Elephas maximus indicus: one gene and its partner. The protein of the gene in region 2 purifies or fractionates together with the protein of the main gene of each other region. This does not show direct contact. Links are inferred from orthologs where the notes say so. Each region holds a gene or a part of one and is shown on either strand. Other genes may lie near its edges.

Evidence for each region. Proteins that work in one complex are often made in the same cells at the same time.
Region 1: the proteins of CXXC1 (region 2) and BOD1 purify together in Homo sapiens (affinity purification with mass spectrometry; 4 studies listed by BioGRID and IntAct, counting the BioPlex papers as one, with this or other methods). This does not show direct contact. The link is inferred for Elephas maximus indicus from reciprocal best matches to the Homo sapiens genes CXXC1 and BOD1.

The regions. Positions count from the first base shown.
Region 1 is NC_064820.1:192,942,684-192,952,984, reverse strand, and holds the start of BOD1 (biorientation of chromosomes in cell division protein 1), read left to right. Parts: upstream 1-5,566; 5' UTR 5,567-5,778; coding exon 5,779-6,009; intron 6,010-10,263; coding exon 10,264-10,301. UniProt on the Homo sapiens protein: Required for proper chromosome biorientation through the detection or correction of syntelic attachments in mitotic spindles.
Region 2 is NC_064829.1:58,940,491-58,951,145, forward strand, and holds the start of CXXC1 (CXXC-type zinc finger protein 1), read right to left. Parts: upstream 5,211-10,655; 5' UTR 4,338-5,210; coding exon 4,335-4,337; exon of another isoform or gene 4,249-4,334; intron 3,479-4,248; coding exon 3,360-3,478; intron 3,258-3,359; coding exon 3,157-3,257; intron 2,833-3,156; coding exon 2,597-2,832; intron 2,509-2,596; coding exon 2,332-2,508; intron 1,964-2,331; coding exon 1,937-1,963; intron 1,858-1,936; coding exon 1,612-1,857; intron 1,463-1,611; coding exon 1,355-1,462; intron 1,193-1,354; coding exon 1,008-1,192; intron 734-1,007; coding exon 526-733; intron 448-525; coding exon 337-447; intron 212-336; coding exon 162-211; intron 41-161; coding exon 1-40. UniProt on the Homo sapiens protein: Transcriptional activator that exhibits a unique DNA binding specificity for CpG unmethylated motifs with a preference for CpGG.

The DNA of each region.
Region 1 (10,301 bases), on a different chromosome or scaffold from region 2:
ATTCTAAGACGTTCTCTCGCAGATGTTCAATATTATGATTTAGAAAGATACTGATAATAAAAGGCAATAACAATGAAAACTAAAAAAAAAAAAAAATGAGGTACTCAACTTACGTGAGAACTAACTTACGACAGAGTCGTCAGAAGGGAATCTGTCCTAAGTCAGGGACTACCAGTATTAGCTGTTGTGTGCCAGGTTCTGCATATAATATTATCTATAATCTTCATGACAACTTTGTGAGGTATTTTATTTTCCCCATCTTACAGATGAGCAAACTGAGGCTTAGACTGCCCTAGGTCACAGAGCCAATAGGTGTTACTGTTAGTTGTCATCGGGTCGATTCCAATTCATAGCAACCCCATGTGTGCAGAGTAGAACTGCTCCATAAGATTTTCAACACTAGGACCTTTCAGAAGCAAATCACTGGGCTTGTCTTCTGAGATGCCTCTGGGTGGGTTCAAACTGCCAATAAGTAGAGGTCCTGAATCCAAACCCAAACCAATTCCAAATTTCTTACTCTTGTCTCTGTATCAGGTTGCTTTTTCACTAGCCCTCCTTTAGTAGTTGAAAATGGCAATATGTTAAAAACACCGCAGCCTGGTGTGTTTTCTAAGATGCATATTTGGTTGGAGAGATGGAGGTAGTATTGAGTGGTGCTGAGGACTCCTGCTTGTTAAAGCCTTGTTTTCTTGGTGTATATTTAGATCCCATCTGTCACTGGAGATGCTGGAAAACATCATAAAGAACCAAATATATGTATAAAGAAGTAGAGATCAAATGGTGCAGATGTAGCCAATAAGCTACAGACAGGCAATCAATGATGTCTGGAAAAACTCTGGATGCTGTTAATTAAGAAATGAGCAGCTGTCCAGCCCAAGAGCTGGCAAGGCTCCTTGGATGGATATATGGAGGCAAGAAAAAAAGGGCCACAGCCACGTACATGAAAAATGACCTGTTGGTCTATCTCACATGGGTATACAGGCCTGAGTTCAGCCTTGTTGTTGTTAGCTACTGTCAAGCGGGTCCCCAACTTACAGCAACCCCACGCAAAATGGAACCAAAAGCTGCCTGCTCCTGTGCATCTTCCTGATGTGTCACAGATCGAACCACTGGGATCCACATGGTTTGCACTGACTGATTTTTGGAAATAGATCACCAGGCCTTTCTTCCTGGCCTGACTTAGTCTGGAAGCTCTGCTAAAACCTGTTCAGCATCATAGCAACATGCAAGCCTCCACTGACAGATGGCTTGCGGCTGTGTATGAGGTGCACTGGCCAGGAATCGAACTTGGGTCTCCCACATGGAAGGTGAGAATTCTACCACTGAGCCATCACTGTTCCCTTGTTGTCATACACTATTAAGTCAATTCTGACTCACAGTGACCCTACAGGACAGAGTAGAAGTGTCCCATAGGATTTCTAGGTCTTTTCTTCTGCAGAGTGGCTGGTGGGTTCGAACCATCAACCATTCCCTTAGTACCAAAGTGCTTACCCACTGGGCCACCAGAGTGCCTTACTCTCCCCTTAACCCATTGCCATCAAGCTGATTCTGACTCATAGCGACCCTATAAGACAGTAGACCTGCTCCACAGGGTTTCCAAGGAGTGGCTGGTAGATTTGAACTGCCAGTCTTTTGATTAGCAGCCAAGCTCTTAACCACTGCACCACCAGGGCTACTCTGTCCCCATAGGGTTCTGAAATGCTCTTGCTGAAGGATCAGGATCTTGGATTAGAAGGCTGGAAGGTTAGCAAGGCAACTACAGACAGACTTCTAACCTTTAGGCCTGCCCTGACCTCCAGCCTCCTAGTCCAGTCTAGTTGTATATTATAAATGGCTCACTAGATTGTACCCGACCCCTCCGAATATTGGCTATATCCTGACACTCAGTCTAAGATAATATCAAGTCTTAAAAGGTCTTATCTGTATCTAGAAGAGTAAACTTCCCATTCTCATTCTTTTTTTTTTTCCTTTTCCATCCATGCATTACGTATTTACCAAGAGCCTGTACCTACCAGGCACTGTTCTAGATGCTGAGAACACAACAGTGAACAATGCAGTAGACAGTCCCTGCCTTCATGGAATTTAGAGGTTAGTCAGGGGAGGCAGAGGTTAATCAAATAGCCTCCCAGCCCAAACATCAACTGTGACTGCAATCTATTGTTAAGCACTGAATAAGGACCAGGAATTATACTAACTGGATTGCCAAGACTATGCTTTATCCCCTCCTCAGATCTGAGGAAACTGAGGCTCCGAGAGGTAATGCAATTTTTCCAAGGTCCTAGGTCATACTACCTACAAAGTGACAGAGCTGGGATTCTGATCCAGCACAATCTGATGCAAAAAAACCCATGCGTTTGGCTACTTTTCCATTTCCCCCCTTGGCAGCCTATGGATCTCATTTCTTTCCCCGTTTCTGCCCTTTCTCCTTTGAGGTCTGGATTTGGGCTTGTAGGCTTGCAGAATTTATACCCTCCATGCAGTCTTTGACATAAAATATTCCAGCATCTAATATGTACAAGTCACTGTGTCATGTCACTCATTACGGGCAAATTTTAAGACTGAGAATCAGCAGTGATTGTTACCTAAAACCAAACCCGCTGCCGTTGAGTCGATGAGTAGAACTGCCCCACAGAGTTTCCAAGGAGCTCCTGGCGGATTCAAACTGCCAACCTTTTGGTTAACAGCTGTAGCACTTAACCACTATGCCACCAGGGTTTCCAATGTTACCTAAAGGATACCTGGAAAAAAGAGATTACTACCTAGGCCAAAATTTAACAAAATATTCTGTGCAGAGATTGCTAAACATTCTAGATGATTAATACAGCAATGGCGCTCCCTGGTGACCACTGTGGTTTGTTACACTTTCCTTGACCTTGGGAAGCAGCACATTTGCAGGGTTTGAGTGAATAAGCTCTACTAGTCCCGGTCACCTGTGCTCCCCTTGCCTGCCCCATTTATACCAATTCTAGAGGCAACGTCAAGGGCATGGGGTGAGCATCTTTTCACAGTTCAGAGTTTATAGCAACCAGGATCACTTGGGATCACCTACCCGTTAGGTCATGACAGACTAACCCGCCATCTCCTACTAAAGTGATTCTTTCTTTTCTCAAGATTGTCGCCATAAATGTCCCCATCCACACAGTCTCTGACCCTATCCCATGGCTACAGGAAACAGACAAGAACTAAAGCAAACACTCACCCGTTCAACCAATATTTATTGGAACCCTCTCTGAGCCAGGTTCTTGGGGCCCAGGCTCTTGGTCTAAGTATAGGTCCTTGGGTGGTACAAATGGTTTGTTTTTAGCTACTAATGCAAAGGTTGGCAATTTTAGTCCACCCAATGGCACCACAGAAGAAAGGCCTGGCAATCTACTTCCATAAAATTACAGCCATTGAAAATTCTACGGAGCTAGTTCTACTCTAAAACGTGGGATCGCTATGAGTTGGAATCGACACAACGGGTTTGGTTTGGTTTTCTCAGAGTTATACATTGTGGTAAGGGCTGGGGAAATAGCAATGAATAAGTTGTGGTCCCTGCTCTAAAGGTTATACTCCGGCAGGGGAGACAGGCCACCAATTAGCCTATAAATGATTCACTTTGAATTACAGTAAATGCTACAAGAATGAGGTTCTAAGAGTCTATATCAGGGAGACAAAACCTGTTGTGTAACAATCAAGCAGCACCTGGACCCAAGGTTAGCCACATCTCCAAGAGACCGAAGAAAGACTCCAGAACCAGCAATCATGACATATGGTTTACTGGGAAGCTTACTTATGGGACAGTGACCCAGGGCAGTGGCTGGACCAGTTTAGTGCTCTGCAATTGCCTAGCAAGGGGAACAAGCTTACATACCGTTTCAGCTGGGACCAAGGCTCATGGTTTTACTCCCATGTCCTTGGGCAGGTAGCGTTCCCAGGGACTTCTCATCCAGGCCCTTTCTTGCTAAGGCATTCCTCGGCCTTGGCCACTGGCCTAGTCACACCATTCCTGGCCTTGTACCTTAGTCCCAGTCCATCCCGAGTTCATCCCCAGCATGCTTTGGGGAAGAGCAAAACTAACTCCATTAGAAGGAAATACCTATAGCTGAAGCATTACCCTAAAAAACCAGATTAGGGTTGGAGATCAGAAAAATTTGCCCTGAGGAAAGAAAGTAAGGTGTGGTGTGCCTAAACTGGAGGGGAGGTTGGCCAAGGTGATCAGGGAGCTTGGAAGAGAATGAACCTGGGGCCCAGGCAGCCTGAATTGGGCTTCTTCTGAGGCTAACTGTGAATGATGAAAGTGTAGGGTTCATTAGTAGGAATAGATCTCAGGTGATTTCAAGGACGGTGATGGTATTAAGGGAGAATGTTTGACATTAACTTATCATGAGGAAGGTTGAGCTGATGCCAAACGACGAGTAGAAACTAACACCTGAATATTTATCTTGAGGGTTAATTTAAACTATCATGAGTAGTAAATGTTGGAATGGAGAATATCCTGGATCTCTGCCAATCCTGGATCTTCCAGGAAGCCAAGGATATTGCAGAATTTATTATTTACATCCCCTCCATTATCATGTATGATTTGGAAATAACAACAGCTGACATAATTGCCGGGGTTGTGGGCAGGAGCTAAAGCGCAAAAAGATGCAAAGAAGAGAGAATAATGGTGGCAATCATAGAGTTCCAACAGTGAATTGTGGCTGTAAAAAATCTGGATATAAAACCTTATCTATTGTATGATGTCAGATAGCTCTTGGGATGTAGCGCGCCTTAGGTTAAGCACGCAAGATTTCGATTCAGGAAACCTGGGTTCAAATCCTATCTTTCCACTTCCAGCTGTGTGCTCACGTTAACAAACTCTTGCGCCTTCATTTCTGCATCTGTAAAAGGCGAATAATAGCAACTACTTCTTAGACTGTTGTGAAGTGGTGCTTGTAAAGTGCTTAGCATCATGCCTGGCATATTCCAGTTACTCGATACTAGGTTTTTAATTATTATTTAATATCTGAGAGAAAATCTACCCACGTGTAAGACACTTACCAGAGATCTTCATTTTCTTTCCTCACACTTTTCCAATTTTCTAAAATGTGCATGCATTGCTCTTAAAATCAGAAGAAAAAGTCAAATTTTTGAATAATAGAAATTTGACAAGTCCGCTGTTTTTTAAATTTCCCTGATTATATTGTTTAGTAGGGGGTGGGAGTACATGTTAAAAACACAAATTCCTTGGCCCCGACCCAGAAATACTGAATCAGAGTCTCCAAGGGATCAGCTTGGTAATCTACACTTTTAGCAAGCACCGCAGATGATTCTTATAATCAAGCACTGTTGAGATAAATTGGATTAATGTGAGGATAGTAGTGACTCGACTGGGATAGGCGACCCGCTTGCAGCACCCACGAGGGCCTGAGCCTACAATTCCCATACTGCCCCCGCAAACTCGCGACGGGCGCGTCCGGAGCCTGCCGGGAATTGTAGTTTTCGTGCACCACACTCCTGCTTATAAGAAAGCCCGAACTGATGCCGAAAACTTCCCGCCCCAGAATGCAAAAGTCAAGAGTGACGCAATCTGGAGCGCGCCAGGTATTGAGCGGGGAGTTTCGGCCGCCTCTGCTGCCGCCGCCGCCGCCGCCGCCTGAGAGCCTGCTTTCTGCACCGCCGCCTCCTTCGCAGCCTCCCCCGCTTCCCTCATCTCTTTGGGAGCCTACTGCTCCGCCACCCCCTCTACGCGACTCGGGCCCTCTTCCCCTGAGAAGAAGCTTTATTCGGCCTCGGTCGCGGGGCCGGAGCGCAGCCATGGCTGACGGCGGCGGGGGAACGGGCGCGGTGGGCAGTGGCGGAGCGGGCCCGGCCTCCGCAGGGGCAGCGTCAGGCGTGACAGGCGCCGGCGGCAGCGGCGGCCCCATCAACCCCGCGTCGCTGCCCCCCGGCGACCCGCAGCTCATCGCGCTCATCGTGGAGCAGCTCAAGAGCCGGGGCCTGTTTGACAGCTTCCGCCGGGACTGCCTGGCCGACGTGGACACGAAGGTAGCTGAGACCGCCTGGGTCGAGCGAAGCCGGGCTGGGTGTGAGGCCGCCAAGGTTGCAGCCTTTTTTTTTCTAAAGCAGAGACAAAAAGACAAAAGATACCTTTTAAATCTCAGCGGTGAGGTGTTAAACCGCTTGGGGCAGTACAGAGAGCTGAGTCGTACTTCTGTGGAGCAGACTCCCAGCCCGCCACTTTGTAGCTGTACGATTTTAGCCTGATCGCTTCTCAGAACTTCAGGGCGATTAATACTAGTTTTTAGAACCCAGATTCTATCATTCCCGAGATGGGACTCTTTTAAATCCCTCAATAACAAACCTCAATTCGTTACAAGCGGTGGAGAAAACCAGGTAGGTAAGCAAGAATGGTTTAGAATTTCCACCAGTTCTCTATTGAACGCGGTAGTTTGAATGCAGTCATCAGCGTATTATAGCGATTCATTTGTTCCTTTGCTCTGCCTCAGTGATTTGCAAACTTTAGTATCTAGTTAAAGTCCGTTGTTGTTAAAGCACCCATATATTGTATTCCATCATTGATTAAAGGGGGTTTGGTGCTTATTTGAGAATTAATGCCATAGGTCAACCCCCAGTAAAACTGCAATTTCACTTTACCTACTTTCAGGGTTTGTTGGGATTCAATGAAATAATGTGTATTAAATGTCAGACACTTAATTTCTGGAATATTCATTTTCTTTTTTTAGAAGCTTTTCCAAGCACGATCAAAGACTCTTTAAGTTGTAGGTTTTGGCGGCGCTCTTACTGGCTGGGCTCCTCTAGGGATATGATTTTTCCCTCTTTTAACCTATTATGGAAGTCTTGTTGCCTGCTTTACAGGAGGAAACCCTGGTGGTGTAGTGGTTAAGTGCTACAGCTGCTAACCAAGAGGTCAGCAGTTCAAATCCGCCAGGCACTCCTTAGAAACTCGATGAGGCAGTGCTATCCTGTCCTGTAGGGTCGCTGTGAGTCGGAATCGACTCTACAGCAATAGGTTTGGTGTGTTTTTGGTACTTTACAGGAAGATTGTGGCCTGAAAATGAGACCTTAAAGATAAGGGAAGGACATAATCTAGTTATTCATTGAACATTTACTGAACTAATAATATGGCAGTGTTCCTGTGAAGGTGCCGGAATAAGTAAGCCACTGACCCCATCTCAAAGCTCATGTTTTAAGATAGAAAACTTACATGTAAACCAGGTAGTATATATAGTAAAGTTCTGCTTGCCGTTTTACTCCTCCAAGATAAAAACCCCATGTTAGAAGCGAAACAAGGTACTTGCTGTTCTTTAAGGAACCCGGAAAACCATGTCACCTGCTTTCTCCTTCTTCAGAAGGACCCTGGATGTTTCCCATCAACAAAATCTCCACTCATTTCTTATGATTAGGTTTTGTGGCTTAATCAAAAAAAAAAGAAATGATCCAGAATATTAAGAAGCTGTTGGGAAGCAGGGGGTCGGAAGGCAACCACATATGTTGCTGGGTGCCATCAAGTCAGTTCAACTCATAGCAACCCCGTGTGGCAGTAGAACTGTCCATAGGACTTTCTAGGTTGGTGGTGCAGTGGTTAAGTGCTTGGCTGCTAACCAGAAGGTCAGCTGTTGGAACCTACCAGGCGCTCCGAAGAGGAAAGATGTAGCAGTCTGCTTCCGTAAAGATTTACAGCTCATTGGAAACCCTGTGGGGCAGTTCTCCTCTGCCCTGTAGCATCGCTATCGGTTGGTAATCGACTTGATGGCAGTGGGTAATCGTTACAAGAATAGATCGCCAGTTCTTTCTCCTGCAGAGCCACTAGGTGGGTTCAGCTGAGCACATAACCGTTGTGCCACCAGGGCTCCTTACAACCACTTATACCTTTTAATTGTTTCTTCTGGTAGTTACCGGGTGGTTTTAATTCTTAAAGACAGTGTCTTCGGGCATGTCTTATCTGAGACCTTTGTTTAGCTCAGTGTTTCTCCAAAGTGTGATCCCTGGATCAGCGGCACCAGTATCACCTGGGAACTTATTAGAGGTGGAAGTTTTGGGCCCCACTCAAGTACCAAAGTGCACAGGGGAAAGTGTACTGATGTCTGTAATTTGCTGTGCCATCCACCCGGTATACAAGTAATTAAATAGAATGACCTGATGGCTGATTAAGAGAGGACTGGTTGGATAGATAAATGATAAAACATTTATAGTAAGGTGTTAATATAGGGACATTAGGTCCTTTGACTAGATGAACTGTATGTCAAGTCTGTTAAAGGTTTGGTACTAGCATTTGCTATCCTTTGCCTTTTTTCAGTAAACAGTTTCTGTCATCTCAAACTGTGTGAATTGTTTTGAGTGGTAGAAGGTACAGCATCAGGATTCATGGTTAAAAGTGACGGAAATCTAATTCTAAGTCCTTTAAGCAAAGAGAGGAGTCTGTTGACTCGTGGAATCCAAGGAAGGATTGAATGAACAAACTGTGCCAGAATAGGAGGGATGCGTTTGCAACCTGGGATTCTCCATTAGGGCGCTCTTTCCTCTCTGCTCTTACATTTATGTTACTGTGTCTGCAGAGTGGAGTCATCCATTTGGTTGCCAGCATCACTTGAGCACTCTTAACAGATTTTTCCTCTCTGAGCTCCGGTTGTAAAGATCTCAGGCAACGCTTGCCTTGTCTTAGCTTGCGGCAGGTGAACAGGGCCATAAGAACATGGCAGCCACTTGCCAACCCCTTGTGAAGAGAAGATGGTTACCAGGAAAAAGGAGTTGTTAACTGTGAATTTTACTCCTCTTCAGCCTCCTCCCAGCCTTCCTCATTTCAGGTTTAGTGGAGATTCTTTAGTAGGCTTGTAAGCCTGCTTTCTTGGTATTTTGGAAGAGTCTACCCATGGCAGGAGGCCTGGTGATTGCTTTGATGAATTCATTTGCCTGATGTGTTAGGAAGCTTTTGCCATAGTAATGCTGCATAGGAAACCAAACCTCAGTGGCTTATAACAATAAGCATTGGCGCTCATTTATGCGGCTAGAGCTGCGAGTCAGCTTAAGTTCGGCTGACCTAGGCAGGCTTCAGCTGGGTGGCTCAGCGCTAGGCTGCCTGGGCTCGTGTCCAGGCTGTGGGTTGGGTTTAGGTCTGGGTGCACATGCGCTCATTCTAGATTCCAGGCTTGAAGGGGCAGTGGCGACACAGGACATGCCCTCCCAAAGTCATGCAAGAGCCAAGGCAGATGCACAAGCACATTTGAGGCCTCATGTCACTAACGTTCCATTGGCCAGAGCAAATTACAGTTCAGGCCAGCACCGTTGGGGGGGAGACATATGCACTGCCCACCTTGGGTGGGCTACAGCGTGAAGTGCCGACCAGCGGCCTACACGCTCATATCTGGTTTGGAGAGGAGAGGCACTGATAGAGTCAGAAGGTCTTTGGCTCAGGACGTGCATTCCTGTGTTCACCAAAACAAAAAACAAACCCATTGCCATCGAGTAGATTTCAACTCACAGCGAGCCTAGAGGACAGAGTAGAACTGCTCCATAGGGTTTCCAAGGAGCGCCTGGTGGATTCGAACTGCCAACCTTTTGGTGAGCAGGTATAGCTCTTAACCACTATGCCACCAGGGTTTCCAAGTTACTTCTAATTCTTCTGACGCTAGTTTTGTTTAGAACGTTTGCCACCAGTAAGTGCCTCTCAAGCAGAGAATGCTCTTTTTTGGACTAATGTCTTACTGAGGTGTGGGTAGATCTTCATTCTACGCAGAGGGCTTTCCCGGGACCTTGTTGCCGAGAACACCCTGTGAGGTAACAGGACAGTAATATTTCAGTTTTACAGATGGAAATAACAGACTTAGGAGGTGAGTGACTTGTCGAAAGTTAAGATAGCTAGTAAGCGATAGAACCAGGGCGAGAACCTAGTCTTCTTTGATCCAATGCAGCCTAGGTCTAACCTTGGTTTTATCACACTTCAGCCATGTGGGCAAGTTATTTACTCTTTAAGGCTAAATTTCTGGTCTGTGATGTGGAAGAGGAAGGAGATAATAGGACCTCCTTCTTAGAGTTGCTTGAAAAGTAAGTGGGATCATGTAAGTAAAGCATCCAGCACTCAGCCCACTATCACACGAGCTCTCCTGCTAGCTCTAACGCTCTGGCCCTACCATGTTGCATGGTGATCGCCATGTAATTATAGTGGGAATATATTTAGATGAGAAAGTATGAATTTCTATGAAAACCAGTATTCTGAATGACTGTTTTCGAAAAGTTTGGTGCATTTAACTTCTGACTTGCCCCTTCTTTTTAATATTTTAGCCAGCTTACCAAAACCTGAGGCAGAAAGTGGATAATTT
Region 2 (10,655 bases):
GCTCTGAGGATTGTAGACATCACAAAAGAGCCGAGTGGCCCTGGAGATTTGGAGCAGAGGGAGAGTGGTGAAGGAGGGTGGTTCCACCTAATGTTACCCAGACCACATCCTGCCCCAACCATTACTCCCCTCCTCTAACTCCACGTGGCGCCCACACTCACCCCTCAATGCGTGTGGGGTACATGGACCCAAAGGACGTCTGGCTCTCATACTGGAGAGATGAACACAAAAGGAAGGAAATGGATGTGGCTGGATGCCCTCCCAGACAACAAATCTGTCCCCTTGAGGCCCACTGATGTTCCCACACCATCCGCCCCCTCAGAATGACACCCTAACCTTGGCGTAGCAGCGTTCCATGTGGCGCAAGGCAACACGTGGGTTGATGGGGTGCCCACAGGAGACGCAGAAGATCTGCAGGTCTGTGTCGTCACTGTCGCCCTCGTTGCTCTGTATGGGGTGGAAAAACAATGAGGACAGGTAGGACCAGGTGCTGGGCCCTGCCATGCCACGCCCACACTTGCTCACCTCCTCATCCTCGCGCACAGCCTGCTGCTTGGCACGCAGAATGATGGCCTCGAGCTCGTGGAATCGGCGTTCCATTTCCTGAAGGCGAGTGCGGGCACTCTGCTGCTCACGGCGAATGCGTTCAAGCAGCTTCTTGCCGTGTTCCTCAGCAATGCAGGGGCTCTGCTGCCACTGCTGGATGCGCTGGGGGAGGATCTCATAGATGCGGCTGCAGGGACAGTGGGTGCGGTGTAGGCCGGGAAGGTGGCAAGTAACCAAGTAACAAGACAAGGAAGTGGGGTGATTAAAGGTGGCAGAATGGACGGATATCTGAATGATAAAATGGTAGATGAATGAGTAGGTGGACTAATGGATGGGTGAGTGAGTAGACAGGTAGGCAGGTGTTTGGTTGTATGAATGGTGGATAGATTATTGATTGGTGGACATACAGATGTGCTGGTCATGCCCTAGTCTGTACTCCCTGAACCCCTGAAATGACTCACTTGGCTGCCAGCTTCATGCCACAGTCATCTGAGCAATACTTGGAGCCGGGCTGTGCGGGACGCACACAGCCAGGCCCCAGGCACTGCGGTAGCGATGCAGGGTCCTTGGCATCAGTCCGCTCTGGGTGTTTCCATTTGTCTTTGTGCTTCTGTTTTTGTCGATGCCGCTTATATCTCTCCTCCTTCTATGGGCCAGGGCAGGGAAAGTCAGAGGGCAGGTGAAGTTAGCCCCAGACCCTACCATTCCACCCCTTCTGGCTCTTGCCTCCTATAGCCCCTGATCCTTGCCTCCCCACACCCCTGCCCTGGCCACTGCCTCCCATGTTTTAGTTCACCCCTTCCGTCACCTTCTTCTCAGACTTCTTCTCCCGGCGCTTTACATGCTTCACTTTCACTGCTCTCTTCCGCAGTGCGGGATCCAGGAATGGAGACTCCTCTGTGTCACTCATCCAGGGCTGCAAGCAGGGCATGCATTGATCCCTCCACCCTACTCATGACAACCCTGCCACATAATTTCCCAAATCAGTCTTCCATACCCTCTGCCTCCTTCTTCTCTGCTCTGTAACCTCCACCCTTCCACCATCGGACACTCCTGCCTGCTCACCAGGCCGTGGTCATCAAAGGCCCCAGCACAGAAGTCCTGGTACAGGTCAGGGTCCAGTGGTAGGTCCTCGTCTGAGAGTGGCTCAGGAGTGGCTGTAGCCTCAGGTGGCTCCTTGACCGCTGATGACACCACAGCTCCCTCGTCCTCACGGATGCGCCCCAGCTTCTGTGATGGCTGTGGCTGCTGCTGGGTGGGCAATGGCCGGCGGGGCCTTGGCAGGGACTCTGAGGGCGTCACCGGCGAGAGCTGCAGGGCAGAACCTCAGGACTGGCCCTGACCGCCCTGCCCGCATGCCCCCCACCCCACCCTGGGGGGCTGGACTCACCGAGGAAGGGAAGTACTTGTACGATTCCTGTGCCGGCAGGAGGAAGGCCCAGGTCAGCCCCAGGTGGATGGAGGTTGGCCCCACCCACCTAGCCCTGCCTTGCTTCCCTAGACACACCTGGCCCAATCCCACCCACCAGAACCTGCTCAGCCCTGCCCCACCTGCCTGACCACCTGGAAACACCTGGCCTCACCCTGCCCACTCAAATACATACAGGGCTATGGGATCTCCTGCCAGTCCAATACATCTGGTTATGCCCCATCTATCTGGACGTGTCAGGCCCCTTCCCACCTGCCTGGATACAACCCAATCCACCCATGCATAAACTGAACCAGCCGCTCCTGGACACAATGTCCCCACCCCACCTGACCCTGCCCAACTCCACCCATGCTCACCCGGGCCCGAAGCTGGCACTGGCGTAGCCGGCACTTCTGCCGGATCTTGTTGGGGCCTCCAAACTTCTTCATGTCCCGGCAGAAGTCACAGTGGCCACAGTCTTCAGTACGCCGGCACGCCTCACACTCACCGCACATGCGGGCTGACCGTTTGATCTGTTGCTGCTGCTGGTGATGCTGGGGAAGATGACAGGAATGAATCAGGAACCCATACAGGGTGCAGGATGGAACCATCCTATCCATCCCAACCACCAAAGTCACTCACCTGGCTGGGTGTGGGCACCAAGGGCTGTGGAGAGGCTTTGTGGGGTGAAGCAGAGCCCCGAGCAAGAATGGCCCCGACCCCTGTCCCAGACCCCACCCGGCGCTGCAGGTCTGGATCCGGGGCAGGCCTCTTGCGCCCTCCACCCTCATCCCGGGGCTCACTGCTGTCCCGCTCACTGCCGTCCCGCTCCCGTGACTTCTTGTGCCGGTAGCGGATCTCCAGTTTGGGGTCCTTCTCTGTCGGGGGGAGGATGGGGCCACTGGCAGTTCAGTATTGGGGGTGGTTTGGATGGTCCCGGAACTCTTTATTTTCCTTTCCTTCCCATACCACCCACCCGCTCCATCCCCCTGCTCCAGGGCAAAGCTGCTCCCTCTTGCAGGACCCTCTATTGTGGCTCACGATGGAGCCCCAGTTCCAGCTCACCACGGACCAACAATTGCTCTGCCCCCAGACACATCATCATTATTTCCCACACCCCCCTCCCATTGTGGTTCCCTCCTCCTCTTCCTCGCCCTTTGAAGCTCCACCTGCCTGCCCTGTCTATCCCACCTCCCCCTCACCTCGGCACTCCCGACAGTACCACTCCCGGATGGCTTTGGCCATCTTCTCAGTGATCCGGATGCAGTCCCCATGAAACCACTCATTGCAGTTGTCACACCCGCTGCAGAGGATGGGGCGGGTGGTGGAGAAGTGAGGGCCCAGGCCCCATCAGCATCACCCAACCCTGCCAGGTATCAACCCCACCCGCGTCTCCCCGGCTCACATCATGAAGCAGTTGATGTCTGGCTTGCGGCAGATGCAGTAGATGGGCGCATTCTCCCCATTCTCCGACTTGCTATCCTCCCCAGCATCTGGTGGCTCTGGGTCTGAACCGTCCCCCTCCTGTGGGATCCCCCATTATGACTCCTCAGAGAACCCCCAAAATGGCACCACTCCCCCTCATTACAACTCTTATCATGCCTCGCCACAGATACCCATGGCTTTGCTGAGAACTACCATCATGCCTCCCCATAAGTTTCTCCACTATGGTCCTTATAGACCAGGCAGGATTTTGTTCTGTTGTACATAAGGTCACTATTAGAACCGACTTGACAGCACCTGACAACAGCAGCATGGTCCTTACAGACCCCCCCGTAACACCTCATTACTGCCTATAGACCCTTTTTATTCTACCCCAGACCTCCCATCACTCATGCCACTGACACCCCATGACTTTAAACACAAACCCTCATAAAGGCTCATCACAAACATCCTAGTACTCGCCATATACTGCCTCCTCCGTGGCTCCCCACAGACTTCCACCACGGGTTCTCACAGACACCCCGTGATTTACCACACAAACTCCTCATCATTGTTCTCCACAGATTTCCCACTATTTACTCCACACACCCTCCTCACGCCGCACTACAGACCGTCCGACACGGCTCATCACAAACTCTTTATCACTCTGTCCAAAGAACCCCTCATCACGGTTCTCCACAGAACCGCCATCAGTGATCCCCACTAACCTCCCATTATGGACCCCCTTCTGGCCCCTCACAGTACTTTCATCATGGCTCACCACAGACCTCCGTCGTTCTTCCCAAAGGACCCTCTGAGGCTCACCACAGACCCCCCCATCATTCCGCCCACAGGCTCCTGTTATAGCTCACCACAAACTCCCATGCGTCTGTCGTCGGACTTCACCATTACGAACCTCACCGACCTCTACCGCAGAACTCCCTGGACTGGTACTCACCATATCTCCAATTCCCAAGCACCCGCTCGCAACCTCGGCCAGCGACAAGGTAACCTGCACAGACCACTCCGCGGCGTCCGCGGCCGTTGCAAAGGCGACTAGAACCACTTCCGCTTCTGGTCGCGCCAACCGGGCACCGTACCCTATTGCGCAGGCTCCGTACGGCGGCTCCGCGGCAAACAAGCTATACGCCCGCCTAGAGCCCTGAATGGCTCTTAGGAGCCGCCATCTTGACTATCGAGTCCGTAAGGCGACCGAGTCCGTAAGTTCCCGTGAAACATGGCAGCGCCTGTATGGCAGCTTTCCTCTGGGGGCTGCCACCTTGTCGGTCGAATCCGTACGCTGACCGCCTGTACTGTATCGACGTTAACAAGCAATATGGCCTCACCTACTGCGCGAATTCCATGAAGCCGCTGTCATCTTGGAGTCTGATTCCGTAACCTGGCCGAGTTCATAAAGTCACAGGCACCATGGCAGCGCCCTAGTTGTGGCTACCGCAAAGGCGCCGCCATGTTGACAGTTGACTCCGTACAACGACTGTTTGTAGTGCAGTGGCCAAGCGGCCTCTGAGGAAACGGATCAGATGAAACCTTTCATTCATTCCTCCACTCAATCACTTTTCCTTTCCACATGCGTTAATGGGGAGCCAACAGGTTATATGGATCGCGTTAGGAAGGCAGTCAGTCCTCCCCGTTACATCTCTGACTTCACCTCACAGAAATTTTCTTCTTCACGCTTCCTCACTATTCCTCAAATTAGCCAGGCGCGGGTCAGCCTCTGGGCCTTTGCTGTTTTTACAGGAACAGCCTCGCCCTGGTGGCGCAGTGGTTAAAGCGCTCGACTGCTAACCTAAATGTCAGCAGTTCGGCTGTCAAAGCTTAAAATTGAGCATGATCTGTAAATAGAGACGTAACCCCCTTGTGGGCGGGGCGGGGGAGGTGTCTGACCTCTACATTCACAAGGGAGGAGAACCAATAGGAACAAGCTAAGACTGATTCCTACGAGGTGGAAGTCTGACATGCCTCCACCCTCCAACCTTTTTACCAATTCTGACACCAACTGTCCCCTCCCAGGACACTCTTTACTTCTCTTTGGGTTTGATAACTTGTTGCAATGACCACACAGAACTCGCAGACAATACTCACGCTTATGGTGTTTATTAGGGAAGTAACCGATTACAATTCAGGCTCTTGAATGCTCAGGACACAGTTCTTCCATAAGGACAGCCTCATTTCAGACTCTCTGGCCCCTCAGACTCTTGGCCTCTCCAACCTCTTGGCCTCTTGCTGGTCCTTTGGCTTTTGCTCTGCTCAGGCGAGTGTTACAAACTCTTTTAGCTCTGTTGATAAATGCCCGGGGGGCACCCCACTCTGCCAATAAGCCTTGTGCCTCACCGTGTTCAGCTCTAGCTCCTTTGGCTGGGAAGCCCCACTGCAGCCTTCTTGCGCTGGTCTCCTAATTTCTGCCATCTTGCAAGTCTCTCACTGTCTTCCATGTTACAGCTCCTTTCTGTCTCCTGGATGTAGGAAGTTCTCAGCTCAGGGATCCTGGATCCAAAAAATAGCCTCTGCTCCTGGCTCTTCTTTCTTGGTGGTGTTGAGATCTTCTCTTCTTGCCTCTGGGATGGCTCATTTTAAGCCTAGAGGGATGGCAAAATTGACCAATTCTCTCATTAGGGTGCCATATACCTTATTTGCATGATCCCACCTACACAAGGGTGCCATGCACATTATTTACATTATTAGCAAGCTATCCAATTCCTTTGGTGGGACACAAGCACCTCATTTACATAGTCCCACCCTGTCATTTGGTGAGAGCTCCAAAAACTACGGCTAGAAGGGCCATACTAAATAATTCACTGTGCCACAAGAGAACAATAGTTTTATTGAGGACTAGAACGGTTCAAAACAGGCAGCACAAAGCAAGTGCAAAGTGCTGCAGAGGGGTTATGTAGAGAGGGATTTTTACATACAGTTTAGAGCAATGAACAAATCTTGACATCAGCTTATCTATTTTAACATTCTTTCTGAGAAAGATCTGCACAAGCAATCTTTCAAAGTACAGTCACAAGACCCCCTCTTTAGGTAACATTTTGCCATATGTTTAACCACATTCTTGCTCCCTCCTTGACTGCTCAAGTAGGGTAGTTAAAACTTTACAAAAGTGGAAAATTCCATCCACAATCTAAAAGCAGAAGTGAAGGTTAGAAGCAAAATAGAGTCTGATTCAAACCTGTGTCAGCCACCTTAGTTATGCCAAGCACCTTAGATTTTTAGGGTGCACTCACACAGAGCTCACCAGGTGCTCCACAGGAGAAAGATATGGCAGTCTGCTTCCATAACGATTTACAGCCTTGGAGAAAAAAAGAAAAGGCCACATAAATCAGAGACTACATCAGCCTGAGACCAGAAGAACTAGATGGTGCCCAGCTATAACTGATGACTGCCCTGATAGGGAGCACAACAGAGAATCCCTGATGGAGCAGGAGAACTGTGGGATGCAGACCTCAAATTCTCGTAAAAAGACCAGACTTAATGGTCTGACTGAGACTGGAAGGACCCCAGAGGCCATGGTCCCCAGACCTTCTGTTAGCCCAAGACTGGAACCATTCCCAAAGCCAACTCTTCAGACAGGAATTGGACTGGACTATAAGATAGAAAATGATACTAGTGAGGAGTGAGCTTCTTGGCTCAAGTAGACACATGAGACTATGTGGGCAGCTCCTGTCTGGAGGGGAGATGGGAAGGCAGAGGGGGACAAAAGCTGGCTGAATGGACACAGGGAATACAGGGTGGAGAGAAGGCGTGTGCTGACTCATTAGGGGGAGAGCAACTAGGAATACATAGCAAGGTGTATATAAATTTTTGTATGAGAGACTGACTTGATTTGTAAACTTACCTTAAAGCACAATAAAAATCATAAATAAATAAAAGATTTACAGCCTTGGAAACCCCATGGGGCAATTCTACTCTGTCCTAGAGGGTCACTACCAGTTAGAATTTACTCAATGACAACAGGCTAGGTTTTGGTTGTTCTTACCCTCAGAATCATTCATGAGCAATGATGGAAGACCTTAAATGATGATGAGTGTGGGTCCTAGTGAGAAGTGGCCAGATCAGAAGTAGATTTTGAAGTCACAGTCAGCCAATGTCACCAAGTCCTCCCCTCCACCCCTACTGCCATAGGCTGCAGATGTCCACTTTGATTTTCTAGTTTAGTTGGGGTCTCCCAATATTCTCTTGGAGCCTTGGGGGCACAGTGGTTAAGAGCGTGACTGCTAACCAAAAGGTTAGCAGTTTGAATTCATCAGCCACTCCTCGGAAACCCTATGGGGTAGTTCTACTCTATCCTATGAGTTGAAATTGACTCGATGTCTACAGGTTTTTAATATTCTCTCCTGTAAAGGTTTTTTTTTTTTTTTACTTAAATTGGGTACAATATTCATTAAAAAAAAGAAATAGAGCTACCATATGACTCAGCAATCCAACTGCTGAGAATATACACAAGGGACTTGAAAGCAGCCACTGGAAGAGATGTAAACCAGTGTTCACTGCAGCACTATTCACAATAGCCAAAAGGTGGAGACAACCTAAATGTCCATCAATGAATGAATGGATAAACAAAATGTAATACATGCATACTATGGGTTATTACTTGTCTTTGTCATCTAGTGCTGCTGTAACAGAAAGACCACAAGTGGATGGCTTTAACAAAGAGAAATTCATTCTCTCACAGTTTACCCATTGCCATCAAATTGATACTGACTCATAGAAAACCTGTAGGACAGAGTAGAACTGCCCAATAGAGTTTCCAAGGAGTGGCTGGTGAATCCAAACTCCCAACCTTTTGGTTAGCAACCTGAGCTCTTAACCACAGTTTAGGAGGCTAGAAATTCAGTTTCAGCACTAGGGGAAGGCTCTCTCTGTTGGTTCTGGGGAAGGTCCTGGTCATCAATCTTCCCCTGGTCTAGGAGCTTCTCAGTGGACTGGTCCTGGGTCCAAAGGACACACTCTGCTTCTGGCACTACTTTCTTGGTGGTATGAGATCCCCCTACGTCTCTGCTTCCTTCTCTCTTCTATATCTCAAAGGAGATTGACTCAAAACACAAGCTAATCTAGTAGCTTGAGTTCTGCCTCGCTAATATAACTGCCTCTAAACCTGACACATTAACATCATAGAGGTAGGACTTACAACACATAGGAAAATCATCAATGACAAAATCGTAGACAATCACACAATACTGAAAATTATGACCTAACCAAGTTGACACACATTTTGAGGGGGACACAATTCAATTCATAACACTACTCAACCAGAAAGAAAAAGGATGTCCTGATATATGCTTGTGGTATGATGGATCTCTTTTTTGTAGCCTTTCCCGCCATGGTCTTGTAACTCCTACAAAACGATTGGGTTGGACTATTAAAATAAGGTGCTTGTGATTCACCAAGGGGATTGGACAACTTGCTAATAATGCAAATAAGATGAATGGCAACCTTGTTGGGGTGGGAACATGCAAATAAGGTGTATGGAACACTAACAAGAGGATTGGTTGATTTTGCCATCCCACTGGGCTTAAAATGAGCCATCTCAGAGGCAGAAAAGGGCACCTCACTACCACCAAGAAGAGATGGAAGCAGAGCACGTCCTTTTGAACCCAGGTTCCCCACACTTACAGCCTCCTAGACCCAGGAGACAGAAAGAGAGAGCTATAACACTGAAGATGGCTCAAGGCTGTGAGAAGCAGCAGCAGAAAAACGGCAGCAGCAGAACCAGGAGACCTGCGTGAGATGGCACAATGGGCTTCTTGGCCCAGGGAGCAAGGCAGTTACAGTCAGTGCGCCAACCTACACAGTGAGAGAGATAAGTGTCTTCAGCCAGGAGGCTTACTGGCAAAGTAGGGTTCCTCTGGGTACTTGTCGTCGGAGCTAGGCTTACTGACCCACAGAGCTAGAGAGCTGAGTACCTTTGGGCTGAGATTTACTGGCAGGGTGGGGTGCCTCTGGGCACTTACTGGTAGAACTAAAAAGCTTTGTAACACTTGCCTGAGCAGGGTAGAGGTGAGGTTGAGAGTCTGAGGGGCTGAGGGCCAGAGAGTGGCCTGTCTGTGGGCACAGTTGGGAAGAAGCTGTCCTGATGGAAGAACTGTATCCTGAGTCATTCCTGATCCTGAACTGTAACCTGTTACCCCCCTAATAAATCCCATAATTGTAAGTATTGTCTGTGAGTTCTGTGTGGCCTTTACAATGAATTATCAAACCCAGCAGAGAGGTAGAGAGTGCTGTGGGAAGGAAGGCTGGTGTCAGAATTGGTAAAACGATTGGAAACAGAGGTTTGTCTGACCTGCGTCTCATGGGAATTAGCCTTGGACTGCTGATGCTGATAATGAGTCTCCTTCCCCTCGTGAGGTTAGAGGAGGTCAGATGCCCCCACCACCCCATTCTGACAATGCTACAACATAGGTGGAGCTTCAGGCCATTATGTGGAGTGAAATAAGTCAGTCACAAAAGAACAAATACTGTATGAACTCATTTATATAAAAAGACAAATGTATAGAGACTACAGTTTATTAGTGGTTACCAGGAGCAGGAGGGAAGGAGAAAGGCGAAGTTTTTGCTTACGGAAAATTCACCATTGATTAAGAGTATTGGTTGCACAGCCTTCCTCTCTTTCACTCACCCTTTACTTTACCCAGCATGATGTCCTTCTTCAGGGACTGGACCCTCCTGATAACTTGTCCAAAGCATGTCAGATGAAGTCTTGCCATCCTCCCTTCCAAGGAGCATTCTGGCTGATTTGTTCATATTTCTGGCAGTTCATAGTATATTCAATATTCTTCTCCAATACCATAATTCAAATGCATCAGTTCTTCGGTCTTCCTTATTCATTGTCCAGCTGAAAACACCATGGCTTGGATCAGGCACCCGTTAGTCCTTAAAGTGACATCTTTGCTCTGTAACACTTTAAAAAGGTCTTTTCCAACAGATTTGCCCAATGCAACGCATTGTTTGATTTTTTTGACTGCTGCTTCCATGAGAGTTGATTGTGGATCTAAGTAAAATGAAATCCTTGGACAACTTCAATATTTTCTCTGCTTATCATGATGTTGCTTATTGGTCCAGTTGTGAGGACTTTTGTTTTCTTTATGTTGAGTTGTAATCCACACTGAAGGCTGTGGTCTTGGATCTTCATCAGTAAATGCTTCAAGTCCTCTTCACTTTCAGCAAGCAGGGTTGTGTCATCTGCATATTTCAGGTTGTTAATGTGTCTTCCTCCAATCCTGATGCCCTGTTCTTCATACAGTCCAGTTTCTTGGATTAT